Linked DNA regions of Diceros bicornis minor. Each later gene encodes a partner of the first gene's protein in a complex. Links are inferred from orthologs where the notes say so. Each region holds a gene or a part of one and is shown on either strand. Other genes may lie near its edges.

What was found. The genes of interacting proteins can lie anywhere in the genome.
Region 2: the proteins of GNAS (region 1) and HRH1 are in contact, whole or in part, in a cryo-EM structure (PDB 9LRB), measured with the Homo sapiens proteins. The link is inferred for Diceros bicornis minor from reciprocal best matches to the Homo sapiens genes GNAS and HRH1. Residues at the interface, in NP_000507.1 of Homo sapiens: Gln35, Arg38, Ala39, His41, Lys216, Val217, Asn218, Phe376, Cys379, Arg380, Asp381, Ile383, Gln384, Arg385, His387, Leu388, Gln390, Tyr391, Glu392, Leu393, Leu394; in NP_000852.1 of Homo sapiens: Asp124, Arg125, Ser128, Val129, Gln130, Pro132, Leu133, Arg134, Leu136, Lys137, Arg139, Thr140, Ile213, Ala216, Val217, Gln219, His220, Cys221, His223, Lys412, Ala413, Gln416, Leu417, Cys471, Asn472.

What each region holds. Positions count from the first base shown.
Region 1 is NC_080758.1:4,818,152-4,825,636, reverse strand, and holds the start of GNAS (guanine nucleotide-binding protein G(s) subunit alpha isoforms XLas), read left to right. Parts: upstream 1-4,387; 5' UTR 4,388-4,402; coding exon 4,403-6,206; intron 6,207-7,485. UniProt on the Homo sapiens protein: Guanine nucleotide-binding proteins (G proteins) function as transducers in numerous signaling pathways controlled by G protein-coupled receptors (GPCRs).
Region 2 is NC_080741.1:83,884,623-83,892,208, reverse strand, and holds the start of HRH1 (histamine H1 receptor), read right to left. Parts: upstream 3,079-7,586; 5' UTR 3,002-3,078; intron 2,757-3,001; exon of another isoform or gene 2,538-2,756; intron 2,184-2,537; exon of another isoform or gene 2,152-2,183; intron 1-2,151. UniProt on the Homo sapiens protein: G-protein-coupled receptor for histamine, a biogenic amine that functions as an immune modulator and a neurotransmitter.

The sequences.
Region 1 (7,485 bases):
ACACTGCTGATTGGCAGCGCAATCTCAGCTCTGAACCCCACTCACCCAAGTGATTTGGGGTTTTCAGATCCTGCTGGCCAGTCACTACAGAAAAATAAACAAGAGTGGACAAAAGGGGAGCATCAGAGTTAAACACTGGATTTTTTGCTTTCTGGTCCCAATTTACCTTTAAATTAAAGTGATTCCTATTCAAGTCTGAGGGTCCTTACTCAGCCTATAACAGTGGTTTCAACCGGGGGCGATTTTGCCCCCCAGAGGACATTTGGCAAAGTCTAGAGACATTTTTGGTTGCTACAACTAAGGGGATGCTACTGGCATCTAGTGGGTAGACGCTAGGGATGCTGTTAAGCATCCTACAGCGCACAGGACCGTCACCACAATAAAGAATTACCCAGCCCCCAGTGTCAACAATGCAGAGGCTAAGAAACCATGGTCTAGAGTAGATACGCTGACCAATTCTTAAATTCTTCCCTCTGGTATACTCCTCCCAGTCCCTTCTGAGCCCCACTGTTCTCTCCTTAATCTCTCCCGTTTTCCCCTCCAGTGCTCCAAATGGTCAAGATTCTATCACCAAATATATTTCTCCCCTTGAGGGTATTATCTGATCTAGTGATTTCATATCCTAAAATGGATGACTGTCACTTTGAATTTAGGGTCTTTACCTTTCTTCTAAACTTCAGACCCATCCTCCTAAGTAATAGGCTGTAAAAATTTCCATTCAGATCGCCCATCCTTCCTTCGCCTCTGCCATGTCTAAAACCAAACTGGCTCCACAACCGGGCCAACCCCCCCAATCCCACGTGTGTCCCTTCCTCTAAGTGCCAGATTTTGGCTCCTCCCCCTTTTGTGCCTTTCTAGCACAGAAGTTGCTAGAGGGTCCTTTAAGATCCCTCAAGTCCCTTCCTTCAGCCTTCCTGTTTCCTTCACTGTGTGGTTCTCTCTCCCTTAAAGGTCATGACCAGCCACAGCCCCCTTTGTTCTCTTCATCACGACCATCCTCTACACTGCCTCAACTTTTCTTAAAACTAGACTCAAATCTTCACTTGCAGGACAAAAAAACATTCAACATCTGCTCCATTTCCTACCAAAATAGCCTCAAAACTGCTTGCCCTGATGTTCCATGGTATCCTCAGAGAGATCCTATCTCATTTTTCCTGCCTTCTCTCCCACTACTCCCCCAGGACTCCACAAGGTAGCCTGTGCTCTTTACCCAGCCATGTGCCATGTTTCCCACCATGAGATCTTTGTTCGCGGTAGGCCAACGTCTCCCATCCCCCCACCTTCTAGTCATAGCCAAGGCGTCTATTCCTCCATGGAGGCCCATTTGAAACGCCATTTTCTCCATCAAGTCCCCCCCAGTTGGAGGTCTTTTCTTTCATTTTTATGCTGCTCCACCTTTAGGATGGAGGACTGGTATCTGCCCAGTCTATCCCCTCAATTCATGACATCTCCCGGCAAAGAACCAAGATACCAGAAAGAATGTTGAACACGGGTCCCACAGGCCCAGGAGGATGTCGGACAAAGAGACCCTCTACCTATTCCTAGATGAACAGTGCTTTGGGGCAGAGCCCAAGTGAAGCGGGCCAAGCACGAGGCCTGGCGAGAGCAAAGCGTCCCTTTGGGGCCCCGATCGCAGCCTCCGGAGCTCCGTCCCCAACGTCTACTGACCTTCCACTTCCGCAGGGCTCAGCATCCCTGGGGCCTCCACTCCTTATCCATCTGGGGCTGCTCCTCTGCATCGGGACAGTAAGCCCTCTCCCTCCTCAGGGTCCTTGCCCTCTACCCCAGGCCCTGGAAATCTTCTTCCTCCTGGCCTTGCCCCAGTGTCGGCCCCTTCTGTTAAGTGGGTTTGCCCACTGCCATCAGCGAGACCAAGGGTTGGCCCCTGCAAGCCCCCCGACCTCCCCTTCTAGCCGTTGTGACTTGTGGCATCCGGAAGAGTGACCCGACGGCGCCGGCCAGCCTCGTAGCATCCCAGGCCTGGCCGCCATACGCCCGCCCACCAACCGCTTCCAACCACGCCAGCAACACAACCTCTTAGGGCGTTCCAACACGGCGCCCCCTATTGGACCTCCCACTCGTATCCGGTTTCCGGTGCGATGCCCCCTGCTCATTCGCCGGGCAGCCTTGATTGACGTGACCCCAGCCCAATGGCTGACCCAGCGCTGAGGTCTGAGGGGGGTAAGTTGACTCTTGCAACCCACTTGGCCCATTCAGTGGATGCCCAAATGTTTGAGCCATTGCCCGTGGGGATAGTTGGCCAAAGTTTGAACGAAAGTTCAGTGTTGGCATGTGGAAGTGTGTAGACACATAAAGCTGAGATGATACGCCTTTGGGGGGCCCCAAACATTACCTAGGGTCTGACTTTGTCAGCTGTCCACCGTGCAGCGTGGCCACGTGGATGGTGGATGCGGGTGCAGTGATGCGCTGTGGCTGTGGTCCTCTCGTTCTAAGAGGGATGCGTTAGACTTAACGAGATTGGACCGTGCGTGGTTCGCCCGCCTGCGGTTCGTAGATACAGCGATCCAGATGGTGTGCCCCGCTCGCCGCAGCCCACCCGATGTAACACCCATACCACCATCCTTCCCCTGTCCGCAGGAGGGGCGACCGCCTGCCTCCCTGCCTAGCTGCCTTGCACCCAAACGTGGCTGGCAGGTCCATGTCACCCGCTAGTGAGACAGACCTGATGCCCATGTCCCGGGTTTTACGTGATCTGCAAACAGCAATTTTTTCCCGGGACTCAAATCCTTCCGCAGACCCCAGACCCAGAGCAGTACGCGCATACGCCCCGAGCCCACCCAGGTGGTGCGGTATTTACCCCGGCAGGCTCTGAGACCACCACGCGTTACGGCGACGGGAGAGCAGCCGGGAGACCGCTGGGTTTGTGGCCGGGCTTCGTGCCGCCTCAGCGGACTCTAGCAGGGGAAAAGTAAAGTGGCTGCCCTGGGAGACCCATAGCGAGAGGACAGAGGATGGAGTGGGGCTGGAGAGGAACTAGAGATGCTGACTGACCGATCCTGTAGCCGGTGCCGAGGCTCGGAGCAGCAAGCGGCTGCCGGCGCGGCACGGTGTCTTTGGGTTCAGTGCGCATAGAGTTGTCCAGTTTCTCAGACCACCCTAAACTAGCCATAAATCCCAACTGAAATCCCCTTTAACCCTTCCCGACAACAGTGGGACTCCCAGAACTCTGAGGCCTCCCCTCCGTGGGGTCCTGGTGGACGTCCCGCGCCCCCCCCACCCCTCTTCGGTACCGCGGCGGCTACCGCTTAGAGGGTCTCCGTGGTACGCGCCTGAGACCCTCTTATTCTCCTGAATCATCGTCCACATAAACGGAAGAGAACCCTGCCTGCGCCACCCTAGGCTACTGCGGAGACCCCTAGAGTGTGGTGGGGATGGGGACATCAAAGTGCTTTACAGGAGCCAGCCTCGGCAAGCCGGCAAACAAAAGCTGCAGAATCAGTGGAAAGTACCCCAAGGCGTTTTAAAAACAAATTGAGTGTGCACATTTGGCAGCCCCTCGCCCCTCGCCTCCTGTCCGCCCCACTGGTGGGCTCACGACCACCTGTCGCATCCCCGTCCCGCGCCCTCACCCCCTTCCCAGTCGCCGAAAGCCTTGCGCTCCGGACTTGGGGCTCAGGATCGGAGGCTGCCCAGGGCTGGGGGCTGCGGCTCAGGGGTTCAGGGGTATCCTGAGGTAATGAAACCCTCCTGCAGTCCCCCCCTCCCCCCGAGAAGAGTCAGTTGGGTCTGGGAGGGAGGGTTTCAGCTCCTGCGCTCAAGCAGCCCGGGGCCCACGTCTTGCGTCACGTGGCCAGCAACGCAGGAGAGCTCTCTCGCTGGCCAGGGGAGAAGAGAGGAGAAACACTCCAAATCAGTCAGGGAGAGGAGTGGAAGGAGCCAAAACGTCCCTGCGAGGCCTGCGCTCATCAGCCCCCTTACCCAAAGTCCGGGGCTGCCGGCGCCAGGATCCGGCTCCGGGAGCCGCCTGGGCACCAGGGCCGGCGTCCCCTGGTGGCAGAGAGAGAGCACTACGAACGATTTTCGGACCGAATCGGCACGCTCCTCAGATCCAAGCAGGCGGGGCTGGCCTGGAGCAAAGAAAGAAAGAGAGAGAGGAGGGGACCAGGGGAGGCCAAGTGGGGGCCAGGGGGCAGCCTCAGGGGATAAAAAGTGGCCAGGAAGGAGACAAGACTCTACCAGCAACATATAGAGTTGCTTCTGCTACCATCTAGGGTTTGAGGCCCTGAATGCCCCAGACCTCACAGAGGTTTGGAAAGTGAAATCGGAGAACTTTCTAGTATTTTGATTTTTTTTTTTTTGAAAATATTTTTTTCACCCTAGTTTGGTTGGGTGCTCCGTCTTACGGGGCCCCAAGTTTATTTTAAGAGTCCGCCACCGTGTTATGGGCGTGCGCAACTGCCTCGACGGCAATAATATGTCAGGACAACGCCATATCCCCCTTGAACTCGGGGAACAGCCCGAGCAACCATCTTTGGAGGCCCCAGGGGCAGCTGCCCCCAGTGCTGGGCCTGGCGCAGCCGAAGAGATGGAGACCGAACCGCCTCACAGCGAGCCCATCCCCATCCAGATTGAAGGTGAGGCCTGTGGACCCCCAGAGGTCTCCAGGCCCAACTTCCAGAGCCTCAGCCAAGCCATCGAGGAAGTCGGAGCCCATGGAGGCTACAGCCCACCTCCTGAGGAAGCCATGCCCTTCGAGGTTGAGCAGCCCAGCATGGGAAGCTTCTGGCCTACCCTGGAGCAGCCTGGAGACACCCCTGGGGCCCATGCAGGCCTTGAGGCCTTCTGCCCAGCACTCCTGGAGCCCGGAGCCTTCGGTGATGCCAGCCCAGGCCTGGGAGGCTACAGCCCTCCACCTGAAGAAGCCATGCCCTTTGAGTTTGAGCAGCCTGGCCAGGGAGGCTGCAGCCAACCTCTCCTGCAGATCTCAGACCTTGCTCCAGGAGGCCCAGGTGCCGGGGTCTTCGGCGCTTCTCCCGAGGAGCCCCCAGCCCTCAGACCTCCAAACTCGGGCTTCAGAGGAAGCTGCAGCCCTCCCCCTGAGGAGGCTATGCCATTTGAGTTTGATGGAGCAGCCTTTGGGGACGAGAGCCCACCCCCTGGGCTCCCCCGAGCTATCCCACAAGTCGACGGCGGTGATGGCGGCCAGGTCACGGCAGTCGCGGTCCCGAGTGCGGTCCTCCTCGCTCCCGCCGCGAACGAGCCCCCCCTCTGGGTCCCAGGCGCCCTCGGCAGCCCATCCCGAGAGGCTGTCAGACCTCCTTCACACTTCGTGGGCGACAGCCCCCCGATGGAGATCTCCGGACCCCCGCTCGAGATTGGCAGCGCCCCCGTTGGGGTCGACGACACTCCCGTCAACATGGACAGCCCCCCAATCGCGCTTGACGACCCGCCCATCGAGGTCTCCCGAGCCCCAGTTAAGAGAGAGCAAGCAGAGGGAGAGGGACCCCCAGTTGAGGGAGAAGCAGGAGAGATGGAAGGAGGCTCAGCCGCCGCTGCCGCGGAGGGAGGAAAAGTCCCCTCTCCCGGGGAAGGAGCCCCTGCCGCTGGGGCCGCTCCCGCGGTCTCTGCCGCTCCTGCCGCCGGGGCAGCCCCAGCCGCTCCTGCCGCTCCAGCCGCCAGGGCAGTCCCTGCCGCCCCAGCCGCTCCTGCCGCCGGGACAGCCCCTGCCGCTCGGGCAGCCGCTGCTGCCCCTGCCTCCGGAGCCCGACCCAAGCTCCGTTTCCTTAGACCCCCCAGCCCCGAGATCCAGGTTGCCGATCCGCCTACTCCGCAGCCTACTCGCGCGTTTGCCTGGCGGGGCAGGTCTGAGCGCGGCCGCGACGACGACGAGGGGTCGGTCAGCAGCAGCGGAGACGAATCCGACGATGGGACCTCCGGGTGCCACCGTTGTGTACAGCCCCGGCGAAATCGCCGCCGCCGAAAGCCCCAGCGCAACTTGCTCCGCAACTTCCTCTCGCAAGCCTTCGGGGGCTGCTTCGGCCGATCTGAGAGCCCCCAGCCCAAAGCCCCGCGCAGCCCCAAGGTCAAGAAGGTTCCTCTGGCGGAGAAGCGCAGACAAATGCGCAAGGAAGCCCTGGAGAAGCGTGCTCAGAAGCGCGCAGAGAAGAAACGCAGCAAGCTCATCGACAAGCAACTCCAGGACGAAAAGATGGGTTACATGTGTACGCATCGCCTGCTGCTTCTAGGTAATGCGGCGGACTCTGCCCGTGGGGAGCAGGGCCGCCCGGGGATCTCGGGAGGGGGTGGCAGGGCTGCCCGGTGGGGCTTGGGGCCTGGCAGCGGGAGGAGGAGGTCTGGGCAAAAGCAGGAAAAGCCTGCTAGAAAGTTCCAGCGAGGGGCCCTAACTTTGCCCTGGGAGCGGGAGAGGGGCTCGGGTGGGCTTGGGTGGTCGAAGTATGTGCCCTTTAGGGAGAAAAGTGGTGCCGTACAACACTGAGGGTCGTTTCCAGCTGGACAAGCCAGCGCCAGCGACCGTAAGATGCCGCCGAGTCCTGGGGTGGGGGCCGGCAAGAAAGGCGGGGGCTTCAGGTGAGCCTGGCACTGCCGCGGAGGGGCCCTGGGGTTTCCCTGGCTAGGCTGGTTGGGGCCACCGTGGGTTGGGGTCGTTGGGGAAGGTGCGCCCCCGCCTCGCCTGGCACGGCTGCTTGGACTCAGATAGCTTGTCGTTGGTGTGTGTTGGTGTCCATATTGTGTCCGCCTGTGCATGATATGCTCAAGTGTCCTCCAATTCCCATCTCCCCGGCATCCCCAAATTACCCGCCGATTGTGTACTTGTACCGGGGAATGGGCTGTCTTGTGTTTTGCGCCATGGTGCCGGCAAAAACTTTCCGTGTTCGCACACTGTGGTGGTACCTGTGCGCTGGCGCTCTGCAGCGGGCGGCGCGAAAAATGCGGAGGAGAAGGTGGTGGGATATCTTGGGTAACAAGTTGGGCCACTGGCTGGGAGGAGAGGGGGCCGCCTCCCGCTGGCCTCCATAACCTTTTTTCTGTATGTCTTTTCTCTCTTTTTTCCCTTTGCGCTAAGCGTTTCCTCACTTCTCATTCGTTCGCCAAACCCTCCCGCCTTTACGGTTGAAAAACCAGACACTCAGGTATCTGGGGCGTCCGGGGCCGCACACGTAAATTTGGTCTTTTGCACACATTCAGCTCACCTGATGGGGGGATGGGAGGAGGAGGGGGAAAAAACGCTTAACCTGCTGTAAGCAAATTTGGATCCAAAACCACAGTGGGCTGGTTCCAAGAGGGTGGGCGTGGCTATGTTTAAAAAATATGAAATTTTTTTCCTAGGGAAGAGCCCGAGGTAAGCCAATCATTTACACTTTTATAAAGAGCACGGTAGGAGGGGCTTGGTTTAAAAAGGGAGGGGTTATGCGTTGTGAGTGGAATGCCGTGTCTCGTGTTTGAAATGCAATTAAAATAAAACTTGAAAAAAAATGCTTCGAGTGTATTTTAAGTGTGGACAAA
Region 2 (7,586 bases), on another chromosome or scaffold:
AACCTGAGCAGGATAAGAAGAGCCTCTCTCCTGCCCACAAGCCAGAAAACTGGCCCAAATCCATGCCCCTCAGAACCAACGCAAAGCATGAAGTTCAAGCCACAGGTGAAGGAGTGGGGTTAGCCACAACAGTGATAATCGTGGTAACGCCCAGCATTTGCTGAGTCCCTAGGAGAGCGCCAGCACTGTAAATAGGTCCGCACTGAGACTATTGAAAGGTTTTAGGCTATTTAAAGCTTGAGACTGCACTAAGACCTCTGGGACACAGATTATATCCAACACGAGACCTACTCCCACTTTACAGATGAGAAAGCGAGAGGCTCGCAGAGACTGGGCAGCCTGCAGGTAGCAGGGCCAGGATACAAAGCTGGACCTGTGTGACTTTAATAGTAACAATAATGACAACTAAAGTTTAAATTGCTCTTTCAGGGGCCGGCCTGGTGGCGCAGCGGGTAAGTGCGCGCACTCTGCGGCAGCGGCCTAGGGTTCACAGGTTCGGATCCCGGGCACGCACCGACGCACCACTTGTCAGGCCATTCTGTGGCGGCGTCCCACATAAAGTGGAGGAAGATGGGCACAGATGTTAGCCCAGGGCCAGTCTTCCTCAGCAAAAAAGAGGAGGATTGGCATGGATGTTAGCTCAGGGCGGATCTTCCTCACAAAAAAAAATAATAAAAAAATAAATGAATTGCTCTTTCATGTATCACATGGCACCATTTGAGTGCTTTATGCACATGAACACAATTAATTCTCTCGCCAACCCAGTGAGGAAGGTGCTATGGGGAAACTGAGGAACAGAGAGGTGTAGCAACTTGCCCAAGGCCACAGAGCTCCTAAGTGACAGCGCTGGGATTGGAGCCAGCTCGATCTCTTTGCTCTGCCTCCTCTTTGTTATGGAAAGGCCACACCAATTCCACCAGGCACTCCTTGATTGGAAAGGAAAGTGAGAACACGAACCCAGAATTCTGAGCCAGTCCAAGGGGAGGAAGTTCAGACACAAGTTCTTCCTACCCAGCTGAGGGCCAGGAGAGACCACGCCTAGCCCACGACTGCCCACACTCCTCTGGGCTACGGGGTCCTTGGCAGGCAGCTCCAGCCTCCACCCAGCTCTGAAATCACGGACAGGCAGTGCTCGCCTTGGAGAGATTCTCTGTCACACTGGAAAACTGTACCCAGCTTCCCTAGAGACTCTCCCTCCACCAGGGGAAATACCTCTCCAGACAGCCAGACAGCCTCAGGCAGCTTTGGGCTTGCGTGTGAGGGTCCAGCAAGCCCCGAATCATATTAGGGTATTTACACGGGATTGTCAAGGCTTCCTGTGAGTGCTAACCCACTCAGCAACAGGCCTCCCGCAGGACACTTATCAGAGAGAGAGGAGAGCCATGCAGGGGCATCCTGGAACCCTGCTGCCTGGAATCTCTCTATTCTTCACCTTTGCTGCTGCAAGCCACAAGCAGGAAGGACCCAAGGTCCCCTTGGCAGCTCGAGCTGAGCTGAAAATCTGGAAGGAATCAAGTAAGACCTATGTTCAAATCCCAACTCTGCCACAGACCAGCCAGGCAACCTCAGGCAAGTTACTTAACCTCTCTGAGCCTCAACACACTATCTTTCAATGAGGCTAGTAATAATAGTGCCCACCTTGTAAGGCTGCTGCGAGAACTAAAAGAGATAATGCATAAGGATACTCTGATTGGTCCACGCTTGCTCCCCGTCCCGGTCTCTGCTGGTTCCTGGCTGCCTCCAAGAGCCAAAACCGGGCATTCAAGCCCCTCCCCATCAGAGCCCCCACCCCCCCTGTCCTTCAAGCTCTGGAGACACACTCCACTGTGCTCCTGTCACAGGGGCCTACCCCCCCATCACGGAATGAGTTCCCCAAGCACCTAGGATCTTGCTCACACAGTACTCCCAGGGCTGTGCCCCTCCGGTTCTGGGTCTCAGGTGAGAGCCCCCTGCCGGAGGTCAGCGACCCTGCCTGGCGTATCTCTACACTACAGGCTTCCAGAGTGGACACCTCAGAGAGATTAAGGGATTCGGGTCGGATTTCTTCGGGGGGGGGGAGGAGGGGGGCGGGGAGCAAAGGGGTAATCGCAGAGAGAAAGTGGCTTCCGTGAAGAACTGCTGCGCTCCAGCTCCTGACTTCCTTGGCTCCTTCCAGAAGAATCCAGAGCAACTTCCAGAATGTGGTATCCTCTCACTTTTGCCCTGAAAGAGCAGCCCCGATGCGCTTCTGCCACTACAATCCACTCCCTGGCAGAAATGCCACTAGCTTTTCAAGGGCTCCTGGCGCGGTACAATGAGGAGGAGATGGTCGCCCCGCCTGGGCTTGCAGCCGTGCTGCAGGAGACCGCGGGCGGTGGCCTTGACGCTTCCCACCCCCCGACCCCTGGCGACGCCGAGCCTGCGGCTCGCCCGCGTGTGGTTACGCGGTTTCGGTCAGGCCGACTCAGCCTCAAAACCCTGGCTCTCCCCTTGACTCGCTGGTGCTCCTGGGCACAACTTTCCCTCTCTGAGTCTCAGTTTCCTCCTCTGTAAAACAGGTATAACACCTGGTTCACCGAGTTACAGGGAGAATAGAAAGAATGGATGCCCAGAGCCTGGCACAACGAATGCACTCAACAGATGGGCTGGGACTACGGTTAGCATCAAACTCGGAGCCTGAGCCAGCCCTGCGAAACTGGAGCCTCGCCCTCTCGGCGTCGGCGCCCGGAGGCAGCCGCTCGGGGCGTGCACCCCGGCGAAGCCACGTGAAGCCACAGGTGTCTGCGCGTCGGGGCGCTGGGGCCAGGACTGAATGTCAGGGAGGTGCCGGGGAGCCGCGCTACGGGGCCCTACCCCAGCCGCGCATGTCCCTGGGTCCCCCCGCGCGCCCTCCTCAAGCCAGCCGGCTCCGGGGGTCTCTGCCGCTGCTCAGGGACGCCCGCACCCACGCCCGGCCGGCGCGCAGCCTGGCCTCGCCGCCGCGGCCCCGCTGGGCGCCTGCCCGCGCCCTGCTCTGACTCACCCGCGCCCGAGCCGGCTCCCGGGAAAGTTTGGCGGCGCGGCGACCGCGGCGACCAGGCTGCTCCGTGCGCGGCGGCGGCGGCGGGGGCGGGGGCGCCGGGGGAGCGGACCTGGGAGGCGGGGCGCCGGAGGAGGAGCCGCGCCGGAGAGGGCCAGCCCGGGGAGGAAGGGGGGGAAGGCGGGCACCCGGGCCGGCGGGCCTGCAGCGCCCCCGCACCGGGCTCGCGCTCCTAGGGCCGCCCTCACGCCGGGAGGGGGCGCTTCTGGCGCGGACACCCTCTCCCGCGTCCCGCGCCGGGGTCGGAGCGGCTCCCGCCCGGCAACCCAGCCTCCGGCTCTGCGCAGGGGCTCTCTGCGGCTCCCGGGGTTTGGAGAGAGAGGTGAAAGAAGGGTCAGAACCTTGGCGAGAACCGCCCCACGTCCCCCTCCCCGCCACACACACATACACCTGAGGGCAGACAGACGAATAGACAAGTCAGGACAGAGAAGCAGAGAGAGAAATAGTCAGAGACGAGACAATGTCAACCACAGACCCACTGAGAGACAAAGACATGTAGTGATACCCCACCTCCCCTTATCCCTGCTAGAGAGCCGGAAATAGACAAAGACAGACGGACAAAGCCAGGCAGACAGATAGGGACCCTATCCCTAGAGGTTTCGTGGGGAACTAGAGAGACCCCCCAAGGTCAAGAACTCCACACCCCTCGTCAGTTTCTCCCTACGCCCTCCAGATGAGCTCAAGTTTGACAACTGATGTGTTTCAGTTAGCATGCTGTGACTGACTGAGCGGAAAGTTGGGCAGTGTTGCGAGAGTGAGGGTGGGGATGTGGGTCTTCTGCAAGTCCCCGGGAGCCGCTGCCCCCTGACTCTGGGAGCCTGAGAATTCTTACTGGCTGCCTTAGTTTCTGGAGCTGGGGGAGAGAGGTAGAGTGTTCTCTCTCTCCTCAGTGCCAGGAAAACTCCACTTGAAGCTCTAAACAATTATGGTTTCAGATCTTATCTCAGCATTTCAAAAGAGACACCCAAGCTCAGAGGGAGAGGAAGGTGTTTGAGAGGAAGGGACTTGGGGGGAGGATGGCTGGAGTGTGGGTTTGGGGATATTTCATGGGGGTGTCTTAGCCTCCTCTGAGTAGAGGGCACTTCCACTCAGTGGCTGTGGGATCCTGTGGAGCTAATTTGAGGTCCATCTTCACCACCTGTGTGTGGTAAGTGAGTGATCCCTCTTTCTGGCCTCAGGGTCCACATCTGTAAAACGAGCGTTCATAAAAACAGCTGTCATTGTGCCATGTACTCTTCTAAGTGCTACAGGTGCTTACTCATTTAATCCTGATAACACCCTGAATAAGTAGGAACTATTATTATCCCTAGTTTACAGAGGAGGAAATGGGGGTACAGAGAGGTTAAGTAACTTACTCAAGGTCACACAGGAGGACTGGGAATCCACCCTATGCAGCCTGGCTACAAAGTTCAAAGACATAGTAGTGTTCTGTAATCTTCTTCTCACTGGGGCCGCTGGAAAGTTCCATGAGATCATTTATGTAAAGGTCTTAGCAAGTGCTCCATAAATGGTAGCATAGACCACTGAGCCTGTCTGCAAGGTGGAGATTAAAGGGCTGATGGTGATGCCCAGAGATAGGAGACTGCGGACTCAGGATAGCTGACATAATAGAAACATGGCCATGTTTCTATCCTAGGTGCCAGCTCTGACCTTAATGAGTCAGAGAGGCAAGGGATTCCCCCTTTGTTTCCCTGACCAGCCCCCTGTATGTTAGCATAACTCCACAACCAGGACTCACTCTGAGTCCACAGTCCACTCCCTCCCATTCCTTGGTGATTCTCCAGGGCCTCCATCTTCTACACCTTACCAGACCGTACACTCCTTGGTACTGAGTTAGCACTCAGGGGAGTAACTGTTATAAACTCTGAAGGAAATGGGTTTCCACTCTCTACAGCTGTAGGGCTGACAGGAGTGAGGGGGAACAACCCTCAGAAATGTCTAGGTCCACATCCATCCCCTCTCTCTCTCCTTTCTGCAATTCAGCAAAGGCTTGATTATTTGAAATTCCAAAGTTTCACTTTCTGGGCTGTTTTTAGGCCTGCTAAGCCCATAGTGATCAGCATTTTTAGAAACATCAGCATTTTGGAAACAGTATGTCAGACATTATTTGAAGCCCTGGTGACCAGGGTGTGCTGTTTTGTTGTGGCATTTGGAACTGATGTATCATGAGATAACTCAGACCATATCCTGAGTGTGTGGGGTGAAGAGGGGGTAGCCAGCTTACTAACGATATACATGCAGCAGAAGAAAAATAATAGCTAGCCGTCATGTCACACCTCTTGTGTGCCAGGCCTGTTCTAAGAGCGTTATGTAATCTAATTCATCTACTCCTCACAAAAATTCCATGAGGCAGGAACTGTTATCCTATTTTGCGGATGAGAAAACCGAGGACCAGAGAGGTGAAGAGCCTTGTTCAGAGTATACAGGCAGTGTGTCATTCCAAGATCAGACAGATAGGAAGCAGCTGAACCAAGTCTGGAAATTGGGTCAGTCTGGCTCCATGAGCCTGTTCCTACTTCTGTGATTTGTGGAAGAAAGTCAGAAAAGGAGAACCACTTGAGCCACTGAGTAGAGATTAGAGGTACAGATTAAGAAGAAGTAGATTAAAAATATCTGCTCTGCCACTTGTTAGCTCTGTGCTTACTTTGCTTCTCTGAGCCTCAGTTTCCTCATCTGTAAACTGAGAATAATAATGCCTATGTCACGTCCAGGATTTTAATGACAATTCTTTTGACTGCAGTCAATGTAAACCTGATTATAACCAGCTTCAGCCAAAAAGGGCTTTGAACTGAAAAATTTAGGAGGTAGTTCTAAATTCGGGCACAGTCCATGCCAGAATCTCAAGGGAAGTTGTCATAAATCTGTCTCCCTTTGTGTCTTGTCTGTTTTCTTTTCTGTCAGTTTTGTTAGCAGGCTGGGTCTCTCCACATGGAGGCAGAAATGGCCAATTAAGGGACCTCAAGTCCAAGCGATTACTTCCTTCCCAAAACTTCCAGCAAAAATCCCAGCCCCAGCTCCCACTGCCTGGCCTGGGTCACATGCCCAACCCTGAAGCCATCCTGGTTGCTCTGATTGGCGAAGCCTGAGTCACATGCCCCCACCAAGAGTCAGGGGGTGAGGTCAGCCCCTCCTAAGTCACAGGGACTAGGAGTGGGTGAAGGATGGTTCTTTAAAAGGAAATCAGGGTGCTTTTAGCAGAATAATGGGCACTGGGGCTGGACAGGCACAGATGTCTGCTTCCTCACAGAACTGCTGTTGGGATTAAATCCGCTCGTGTGTGCAAAGTGTTTGGCTCTGGTGGGTGCTCAGGAACTGAGTCCCTTCCCTTCTTTCCTCTCCTCTGGGAAACAGAATTCACCAAATTCAGGCCAATTGCTTCCTTGTTCACATGGGGAAACTAAGAAGGTCCAGAGAGGGGAAGGGACTTGCCTAAGGTGACCCACCTAACCAGCCACAGAACCCAGCTGATCAGTCATAGAACCCATATCTCCTGGCCTGAAACAAATTCCTGTTAAAGTCTTAGCTGAGAACTTTTAGATCCCCTACTAACCAAGGGAGTTATCTTTGCATTTACAAAGGGAGGACTAGAAAATTGCAAAACCCAGAGGAAATGAATGCCACTTATGTTGGGCTCCCAGACTGGTCAACAAGCTATCGACTGGTAGATGTGGGCAGAGTGCCAAGCCCCGCTCCCTACCTGTGGTATTATGAACGCAGCCGTTTCCTCTGGGGACTCTGCACTCTGGGTGCCAAGAGATCCAAGTAGTCATTTTGCTTTTTTTTTTTTAATTTTATTTATTTATTTTTTCCCCCCAAAGCCCCGGTAGATAGTTGTATGTCATAGCTGCACATCCTTCCAGTTGCTGTATGTGGGACGCGGCCCCAGCATGGCCGGAGAAGCGGTGCGCTCCCGGGATCCGAACCCGGGCTGCCAGCAGCGGAGCGCGTGCGCTTAACCGCTAAGCCACGGGGCCGGCCCTAAGTAGTCATTTTTCATTTAGCTGCCCAAAGAAGGCAAGATGGCCCTTCCTTCGTCTTAATTCCTGCTCAGTGTGTGAGAGCAGAAGTGCATCCTTCAGGGCCAAAGTGGGCCACGTAGCACGCGCGTTATTTAGAGTTATAAAAATGGACCCTTCCAGCTTGCCCTGACTCAATTCCAAAGCTGCTGGCCTTGGACAGCTAGTCTGACTTTCCAGTCTAAATTTAGTTAGACTGGCATGCTCTAGAGCTGCTTCGTTTAAAGGAATGTGAGCAAGAAAGGCAGACATTAAGCTGGAATGACAAGACCCAGTCCCTCCATCCCCCTAAGGTAAAGCATGTAGATTTGCTGTGCAGGGTGTGGGAGGAAGTGTCAATTTCCCTCCGGCCTTCCGGGAGGGCAATTTGCAGCCAGATGTTGAGAACTTTAAAAATGCTCAGTTTCTTATTCCATACTCCAAGAATTTTTCCTGAGAAAATAATCATGGATATCACCAAGATATGCATGAAAATGTTCATTGCAGGATTGCGTATCATCGTAAAAGACTGA